Linked DNA regions of Macaca fascicularis. The protein of the gene in region 1 purifies or fractionates together with the protein of each later gene. This does not show direct contact. Links are inferred from orthologs where the notes say so. Each region holds a gene or a part of one and is shown on either strand. Other genes may lie near its edges.

What was found.
Region 2: the proteins of HNRNPU (region 1) and HNRNPAB purify together in Homo sapiens (affinity purification with mass spectrometry; 4 studies listed by BioGRID and IntAct, with this or other methods). This does not show direct contact. The link is inferred for Macaca fascicularis from reciprocal best matches to the Homo sapiens genes HNRNPU and HNRNPAB.

Annotation. Positions count from the first base shown.
Region 1 is NC_088375.1:4,318,003-4,321,654, reverse strand, and holds part of HNRNPU (heterogeneous nuclear ribonucleoprotein U), read right to left. Parts: intron 2,464-3,652; coding exon 2,324-2,463; intron 1,384-2,323; coding exon 1,284-1,383; intron 849-1,283; coding exon 736-848; intron 286-735; coding exon 22-285; intron 1-21. UniProt on the Homo sapiens protein: DNA- and RNA-binding protein involved in several cellular processes such as nuclear chromatin organization, telomere-length regulation, transcription, mRNA alternative splicing and stability, Xist-mediated transcriptional silencing and mitotic cell progression.
Region 2 is NC_088380.1:184,983,104-184,987,281, reverse strand, and holds the start of HNRNPAB (heterogeneous nuclear ribonucleoprotein A/B), read right to left. Parts: upstream 2,952-4,178; 5' UTR 2,743-2,951; intron 2,669-2,742; 5' UTR 2,646-2,668; coding exon 2,437-2,645; intron 1,654-2,436; coding exon 1,485-1,653; intron 775-1,484; coding exon 616-774; intron 414-615; coding exon 282-413; intron 1-281. UniProt on the Homo sapiens protein: Binds single-stranded RNA. Has a high affinity for G-rich and U-rich regions of hnRNA. Also binds to APOB mRNA transcripts around the RNA editing site.

The DNA of each region.
Region 1 (3,652 bases):
AAAAAAAAAAAAATCACTTACTTCACAATCTTTCTTCTCTTCAGGCCCCTTTGGTCCTCTAACTCGATCCTCTAAGGGGACATTCTGGATAAAAGTATACTCTTCAGGTATTGGAAAATATGGCTTTTCCTTCTGACCAAAATTAAATTCAACTGCACAGTTGTGGCAGAGAACATGCGGGAAGAGTGGCCGTCCAGCAAGAACTTCCTTACTGATTTTGAAAGCAATGCCAAGATCTTGTCCATTCTTAGCATAGGAGAGTTCTACTTCATCACTTTCAAAGTTCTGTTAAACAGCAAAAAATTCAAGTTATCTGCTTCCTGTAAACTTTCTAAAAAACTAATAATTAAAATTAGGAGCAAAGCTTATCCTGTGGGAGCTACAGGTTAAACAACTATTAAGTGGCCTCTAAGGGCTACACAGTTAAGAAATCTGATGGTTACAAACAATGAAGCACGGATCTCCAGAACCAGAAACAATAGTGACCTAGAAGTTAGACTAAATTTTCTAGGTCAATTTCATCTTCATTGTTTTCAGTCAAAATGAAATTAGTGAGTTCCTCAAAAATGTCCTGTATTTTCCCAATTCAACTGCTGAATGAGTATTTATACTAACCCAGGGACTGGTGTATTTATGTTGCTCCTATTGAAGATTGACCTTAATAAAGCTTCTTAAAAGTTCCTAGATATAGCTACTAATTTGCCATTTATACATAGAAAGTTAGCTTTAACTTACAGCAAAACATGTAATCACATCATTTTCATCAAACTTTTCTCCATAATCTTCAGTCTCACAGTTGCATGTTTTTATTCCTTTTAGAGAATACCCGTAAGAAAATTCTTCTTCACCTAAGAAAGTAATTAACCTTCGTGAAGCAGATTTTTAAAATAGTCCAAAGACTCATCTATTTCACTACTTAAAATGTAGGCTACAAGAGAAATGAGCATATAACCTAATCACCTGTCACTGACACTATTACTTTTCTACCTCTGTACTAGAATTGATGAAAGTTAGGAGGGATATATATATATGCAGAGACCAAATTAGTTGACAATTTGCATATCATGGGTAAGATTTTATTTCAACCATAAACTTCTAATAAAGGAACAAAAACTAAAATGTAGCCTGTGCCTACTATGTGCTAATATTACTTGTCTGAAGTATTAACAGAATAGATAAAAACAGACAAAAGGCTTAGAATGCCTTCTAGTCTGGTTAAAAAATAAGGATATCAGACCCTCCTAAACATTCATGAGCCCACATCAGTCAAAAAGAATCTTTACCAAGTAACATTCCACTTGTAGTTAGTGACCAGCCAATACGAACTTCATGTATGTCAATATCTTTTGTATATAAATGCCTTACTGGGATCTTCTCTGTAACCTGAAAGTCGAATCATTAAATAATTAAAATCATAAACCAAGGAGGTAACCCCTTAACTCTGGCTTATTTCATAGGGTCATGAGCTAATCTTCCTCGAGCTATAAATACAAAGAGATGGCACACTCTAGCCCATCCCTAATATTTGTAAGAACTTTAAACTGATGTGCTTATAACTTGAAATGTTAAATACTTATTTGACCCATACTTAAAAGAATAGTTAATATTTTTACAGTTCATGTTGTCAGTCTTCAACTTAAAGCCAATTAAAGGATACATTTAATGTTTTTCTCGCCAACAAAACCTGTAATCTAACCAAATTTTATTTTTCACTCTTTGGTGGCCCTTTCAAATGCTTGATAAAAATGAAGTACCCTAAATAAAAAGTTGCCTAGCTCTGCATGTCAAGTTCTAACATAACTTAACTGTCACAACAAAATGAAGGTTCCAAGTTCCTCTTTTAATTTACAGGAAGCTTCAAAAAATAAGTACCTCTGATAACTTAGCAGTATGAAGCACCTGTAATTTCAGTATTCTGGGAGGCCCAGGCAGGCAGATCACCTGAGCTTACGAGTTCAAGACCAGCCTGGGCAACATGGTGAGACCCTGTCACTATTTTAAAAAGAAAAAAAGAAAAGAAAAAAAAAGGCTGGCTCAAGTGCGGTGGCTCAAGCCTGTAATCCCAGCACTTTGGGAGGCCGAGGTGGGTGGATCACCTGAGGTCAGGAGCCCCGTTCTCTATTAAAAATACAAAAATTAGCCAGGTGTGGTGGCACGTGCCTATAGTCCCAGCTACTTGTGAGGCTGAGGCAAGAAGAATCACTTGAACCCAGGACGAGGAGGTTGCAGTTGAGCCTGGGTCACACCACACCAATCCAGCCTAGGGGACAGAGTGAGACTCTGTCTCCAAAATCAAACAAAAACATCATAAAATTGCATTTACCTTCATCTCAAAACACACTTTGCCTTTTGACACACCATAAGATGCTCTTCCTCCAGCCCAAAGAAAAGCAAAACTTTCCATTGTAAGGGAAGAAGCACTGAGACGATCTCTTGATATTTTAAAATGTAGATCACAATTATCTGTAATTATATCAAATACTGTGTTACTTTTGACATCCAATGTAAACATATATGCTATGTAGAGAAAACTTGGTTATTTAATTTTTGCATGTACTTAACGCTGCACAACTTTTCTCCACATCATGCTGTTGTTCCAATTTTCAGTTTAAAGCCCCACTCCCACCAAGTCACTCCTTTTAAATTATGTACTGAAAAGTAAACTGCCTCTGAAACTAATACCAAGGTTTAACATGTATATTTTAAGTATTTAAAATAATCAAGACAATGTGACATTAATACATACCTGCTCTGCTCTTTACCTTGATTTAGAGGCAAGCAGTAGAGGATAGCAGGAAATCAAAGTGAAGCATGCCAGAACCAGGTAGATTTACCAGTGCCACATTAAAACTGAAGGGAGGCCACGACCAAATTATTTTGAAACAGGAGTATGAGCTGCTGTTGATCCTGCACCAGGGCTCTAGCTCCTAAATTCTTCTTCTAAAACTTGTGAAGAAGACAGCCTAAATCTATGAAGTACAAACCTGGCCGTCTAATGCTGTTAATAGTGCAGCATTTTAGGTCCTCTTTACCCAGGACTGCCTGTTCAACAATTAGGGATTAACTGCTTCCCGGATTATCCAAATCCAAAGTGTCTTTAACCTAGCTACCTATGGGTCACTGGCTCATTAACATGCACCTTCTCAGACTTCTCACTTCAACAGCTAAAGTCAAGCTGGAATTCAATTTTTTTTTTACTGATCAGAGAAAAATAAATCTACAGTTTGGAATTTTTCTTAAATTAGAATTACTGTAATCAGCAGAATTTAATTCAACAGATTGTTTGAATTCAACATTGTGTTTATATTGACATATGCCTATCTGATTTGCTAAAAAATCTAACAATTACATTACCTGCATGAGTCACCACTTCACTACCTTGCCAATTCCTAGCAACTTTTTATTTACACAACCCAGAATTTCACATAAAACTTTCAATTCAACTAACTCCTTTTTCACCTGCAGTTTTTTACTTCAAAAAGGCTCAGATGACTATCTCAACCTTCTGTAAAGGACATTCCAGTAAGAAAGAGTTTTACATTTACACTCTTACAAATCTGAATAAAACCAAATTGTACAAGAAAACATGAGAAGCTAAGCTTCAATGCCCTCCATCTAAAAGAGCAGGCTGACACCACAGCTGATACTTTCA
Region 2 (4,178 bases), on another chromosome or scaffold:
AAATGACAAACTAAAGAGGCTACTCAACCTGCTCTATTCAGAGGCCACCTTCTCCTGCCTCCCTCACATCCTGTGTTTGTTTACTGGCAGTCCTCCCAGCCCGGGAAGTCTTTGAAGGATCAGAACACTGCCCCAACCAGGGCAGCATACACTTCAGAGAAATAGTTAGGTCTAACCAACCTGGAGAGCTCCTGCACCATGGCCCAACCCCTAACCCCCACCCCTCTAAGGGCCAGCTCTCCAGCAGCACAGGATGCCCAGCAGAGTTGGGGACACCTTACCTTGCTTCCACTGATGGTATGGAACTTTTTCTCCAGAACCTTCTTCACAGGTTCTTCTTCTTTAAAGGTGATAAACACAAAACCTCGTCTTTTGTTCAACTTTGGATCCATTGGAAGTTCAATGGCCTCAATCTGCAAAAAGCATAGGCAAACTCAGGCTCAATACCTCTCTACCCCAGAGCATATAGGGGACTCACAAGAGAAAAGACCCCACTGAAGGCAGAGAGTGAAAAATAAGCCCTGCCTGGGAGGGTCTACTCAGCCAAGGATACCAAGGACCAGAAAGAAGGCAGCCTTAGGGCAGCTGATGGGCTACTCCCAGGGCCACACTCACCTCCCCAAACTCGCCAAAGTACTCCCTGATCTTTTCCTCAGTGGCTTCAGGATTCAGACCCCCAACGAAGATTTTCTTCACTGGGTCCTTCTTCATAGCCATGGCCTTTTTAGGGTCAATGACACGGCCATCCAGCCTGTGCTCCTTCTGGTCTAGGACCTGTTCCAACAGAAAGGGGTCAGGCTGACTCAGCAGCATGAGCCAGACAAGGCCCTTCTCTCTAAGCCATGAAGACACCAGCACAGATAAAAAATGTGTTTCACCCCCTCCAAATTCTACCCCAGCTTAACTTCCCAACCCAATTTTCTTCAAACCTCAAGTACAGCTGGTTTACCTCGACACCTAGAAAGCAGTCCTCACCCTCAAGCCTTTGATCATGCTCTTTCTGCCCAAGCAGTCCCAGCGTGAGGCCCATCTCCAGAAGCAAAGCAGCAGGGACTCAGCACAGGCTGAAGATGGGCTGCAGGGGATGAAATCCTCGCTCCACTCCCTACTAGCTGTGACCTCTTCTACTTAAATGTCTGAGCCTCAGGGTTTTGGTTTTTGTCCTGTAAAATGGGGCTAACAGCCTATCATAGCAATCTTAGACTCTCTTGTAATCCTCCCAGATGTTTAGCACAGTGCCCAGAATAGGCACATAAAAGGTAATGAATGTCAACTATAATCTTCCCGAACCACTCCAGCACATACTCTCACTCCCAGCTTAATTTGTATTTTCATCCCCTCAAAAACCGGAATATAACCTCTGGCTTTGCCCAAAGCACTCAACCACATGCAGAACACACAAACTAGTCATGCTGTAAGAAAGGTGTCCTCTTAGAATTCAAATCGTTTCCACTGAGACTGCTGAAATCCAGCACCCAGCTTACCTTCTCCACACTGGCTGCATCTTTGAACAGGATAAACCCAAACCCTCTTGACCGTCCAGTGTTGGGATCCATTTTTATTGTACAGTCAACGACCTCTCCAAATTTAGTAAAATAGTCTTTTAAATCTTTTTTGCTAGTATCCCAGCTCAGGCCACCAACGAACATTTTTCTGAAATGGTAGGGTGAGACACATGGCAACAAGTCTTATAAGCAAGCTGTGATTTTGGAAAGGACTGGCCCTGGCAAAGCTCTCACAAAGTCTACAGCTACCCTTAGAGTCTGCAAGGTGCACCTTAGAAGGATGTTAAATCTCCACTACCCTCCAAATTCAATTCAACCAGGACCCTAACGAAGCTTAACAAGGCTCTGCAGCCCCAGGCTGTGAGAAGCAAAGAAAGGACCACCTCACCAGGGACATGGGCCCTAACTACTCACAACTGGAAATTCATTTGTTATCTACAACCATGTATCAAAGGGCCAGCGTCTTCGCCACCTCCTGAGAACTCTTTTCAAGGAACTCGATGCTTCCGGGGGCCAAGCCCGCCCAGGGTTCAGACCGTGACTCCGCCCCCGGGAAAGGCGGAGGAGGGAGGCCTGGGCCCCGGCTCGCGCCAACTCCGCCCACGCAGCCCCGGCGCGGCCCGAGACGCCGCCCGGCCCCGGGTCCGAGCGCTTTCCCTCTTCCGGGCCATCCGCCCGCCCCTGCGCCGGCTCCGGCCCCGGCAGCGCACAAACGGCCCCGGGGCGGCGCCAAAGTTGACCCAACAAACTCCTGCAAACTCCAGCGCGAGTGGCAGCGCCAGGCCCGCCCGCGAACGCAGCGGCGACAGTCCGCGGGCCGCACCGGCCCCGACCCGGGCCAGGCCGCCGCCCCTCCCCCCGCCGCGTGGCGCCAACAAAAGGCGGCCCCGGAACAAAGGCGGCGCCCCCGTCCGCCCGCGCCCGCACCTACCCCGCGTCCTCCTCGTTCTTGCTGGCGTTGATCTGGTCGCCCTCGGCGCCGTTCTGATTCCCGCTCGGGGGCGCCGCGGTCGCGCCTCCAGCCCCCGCCGTGGCGCCCGTGCCAGCCCCGGCCGGGGACTCGCCTTCAGGGGCGGCCTCATGTCCGTTCTCGGTGGCGCCCGTCGTCTCCATGGGCTGCTCCTCGCCCGCTTCCGACATGCTAGGCCGAGGCGCGGCGGCTCCTGCAACCAGCGGCGACAGCGCGTCAGGCCGGCGCGGCTCCCGCCAGAGCTCCCGCCCGCCGGCCGCCGCTCACCTCGCCGCCGATGACGCCGCGGGGCCCGCTCGTCCCCACCAGCCGGGGAAGGCGCCGCGGGCTCGGCCGCACTCAAGCTCGCGCTGCTGAGGCCTCGCCCCAGTCAGCCCACGGAGCTGCTCCAACTGTGTCTCCTCCTCCTTGGCCGCCGCCGCCGCACGGGAACCCACCGACACAACCAAGCTCCCTCCCGCGCGGTGCCGCCGCCTGACAATGCCGACTCGTGGCGCCCTTTATAATGCCGGAGCCGGGGCCCACTTCGCAACAAACTGCACGCTCATTGGCTGCTCAAGTCCGTCACTCAACCTAGCGTCAACGTCCCATTGGCCGCGGCGGCGCGCGCGCTCTAGACGCGGGCGGGCTTTGTCCTCATTTTAGAACCCGCGCGACTACGGCCCGTACCGAGGGCTCCGGCAGCCGGGCCGGACCGCGCCGGGTCCAGGGCGGCGAGCAGCCACAGCACAGCGGTGGGAGGGCCTAACCGGACTGTAAGCTCGTCGAGGCCCTAGTCCCTTGCTCTCGAGCACTCTATCCCAGCATTGGCAGCCTCCGCCTCCCCATGTCCCAAAAGAGGAAACTAGGCTGGAGAAAGTTTCGCAGTCCAAGGACGCATGGCTGGAAGTGGCAGAACCCGGGCTTCCGAGGTTGGGAGAGTGGGGGTCCTCCAAAGCCCTCAGCACGGGTCGGAGGGAGGGGGCTGAACCCGCCATCCCCCTGGACCTTGGTGTCCTCCAAGCCCCGCGCTCGCGACCTGTCCGTCGCCTCCCCCCGAGATGCCCTGCAGGGACTATGAGACCTTGGTGTTTCCCGATCCTCGGTCCCCTGGCACCACCTTAACGATTGACATCGCATTTGTACTTTTGTTTACTTACATTTTTCCTTTAAATCGTTTGTCTTTTTCTTCCTTTCTTTTTTTTTTTTTTTTTTTAGATGGAGTCTTGCTCTTGTCGCCCAGGCTGGAGGCAATCTCGGCTCACTGCAACCTCCTCCCGCCCCGGCTTCAAGCGATTCTGTCGCCTCAGCGTCCCTGAGTAGCTGGGATTACAGGCGCCCGCCACCACCTCCGGCTAATTTTTGTTTTTTTTTGGTTTTTTTGTGTTTTTCAGGCTGGAGTGCAGTGGCCGGATCTCAGCTCACTGCAAGCTCCGCCTCCCGGGTTCACGCCATTCTCCTGCCTCAGCCTCCCGAGTAGCTGGGACTACAGGCGCCCGCCACCTCGCCCGGCTAGTTTTTTGTATTTTTTTTAGTAGAGACGGGTTTCACCGTGTTAGCCAGGATGGTCTCGATCTCCTGACCTCGTGATCCGCCCGTCTCGGCCTCCCAAAGTGCTGGGATTACAGGCTTGAGCCACCGCGCCCGGCTAATTTTTGTATTTTAGTAGAGACAGGGATTCGCCATGTTGCCCAGGATGGTCTTGAACTCCTAACCTCAGGTGA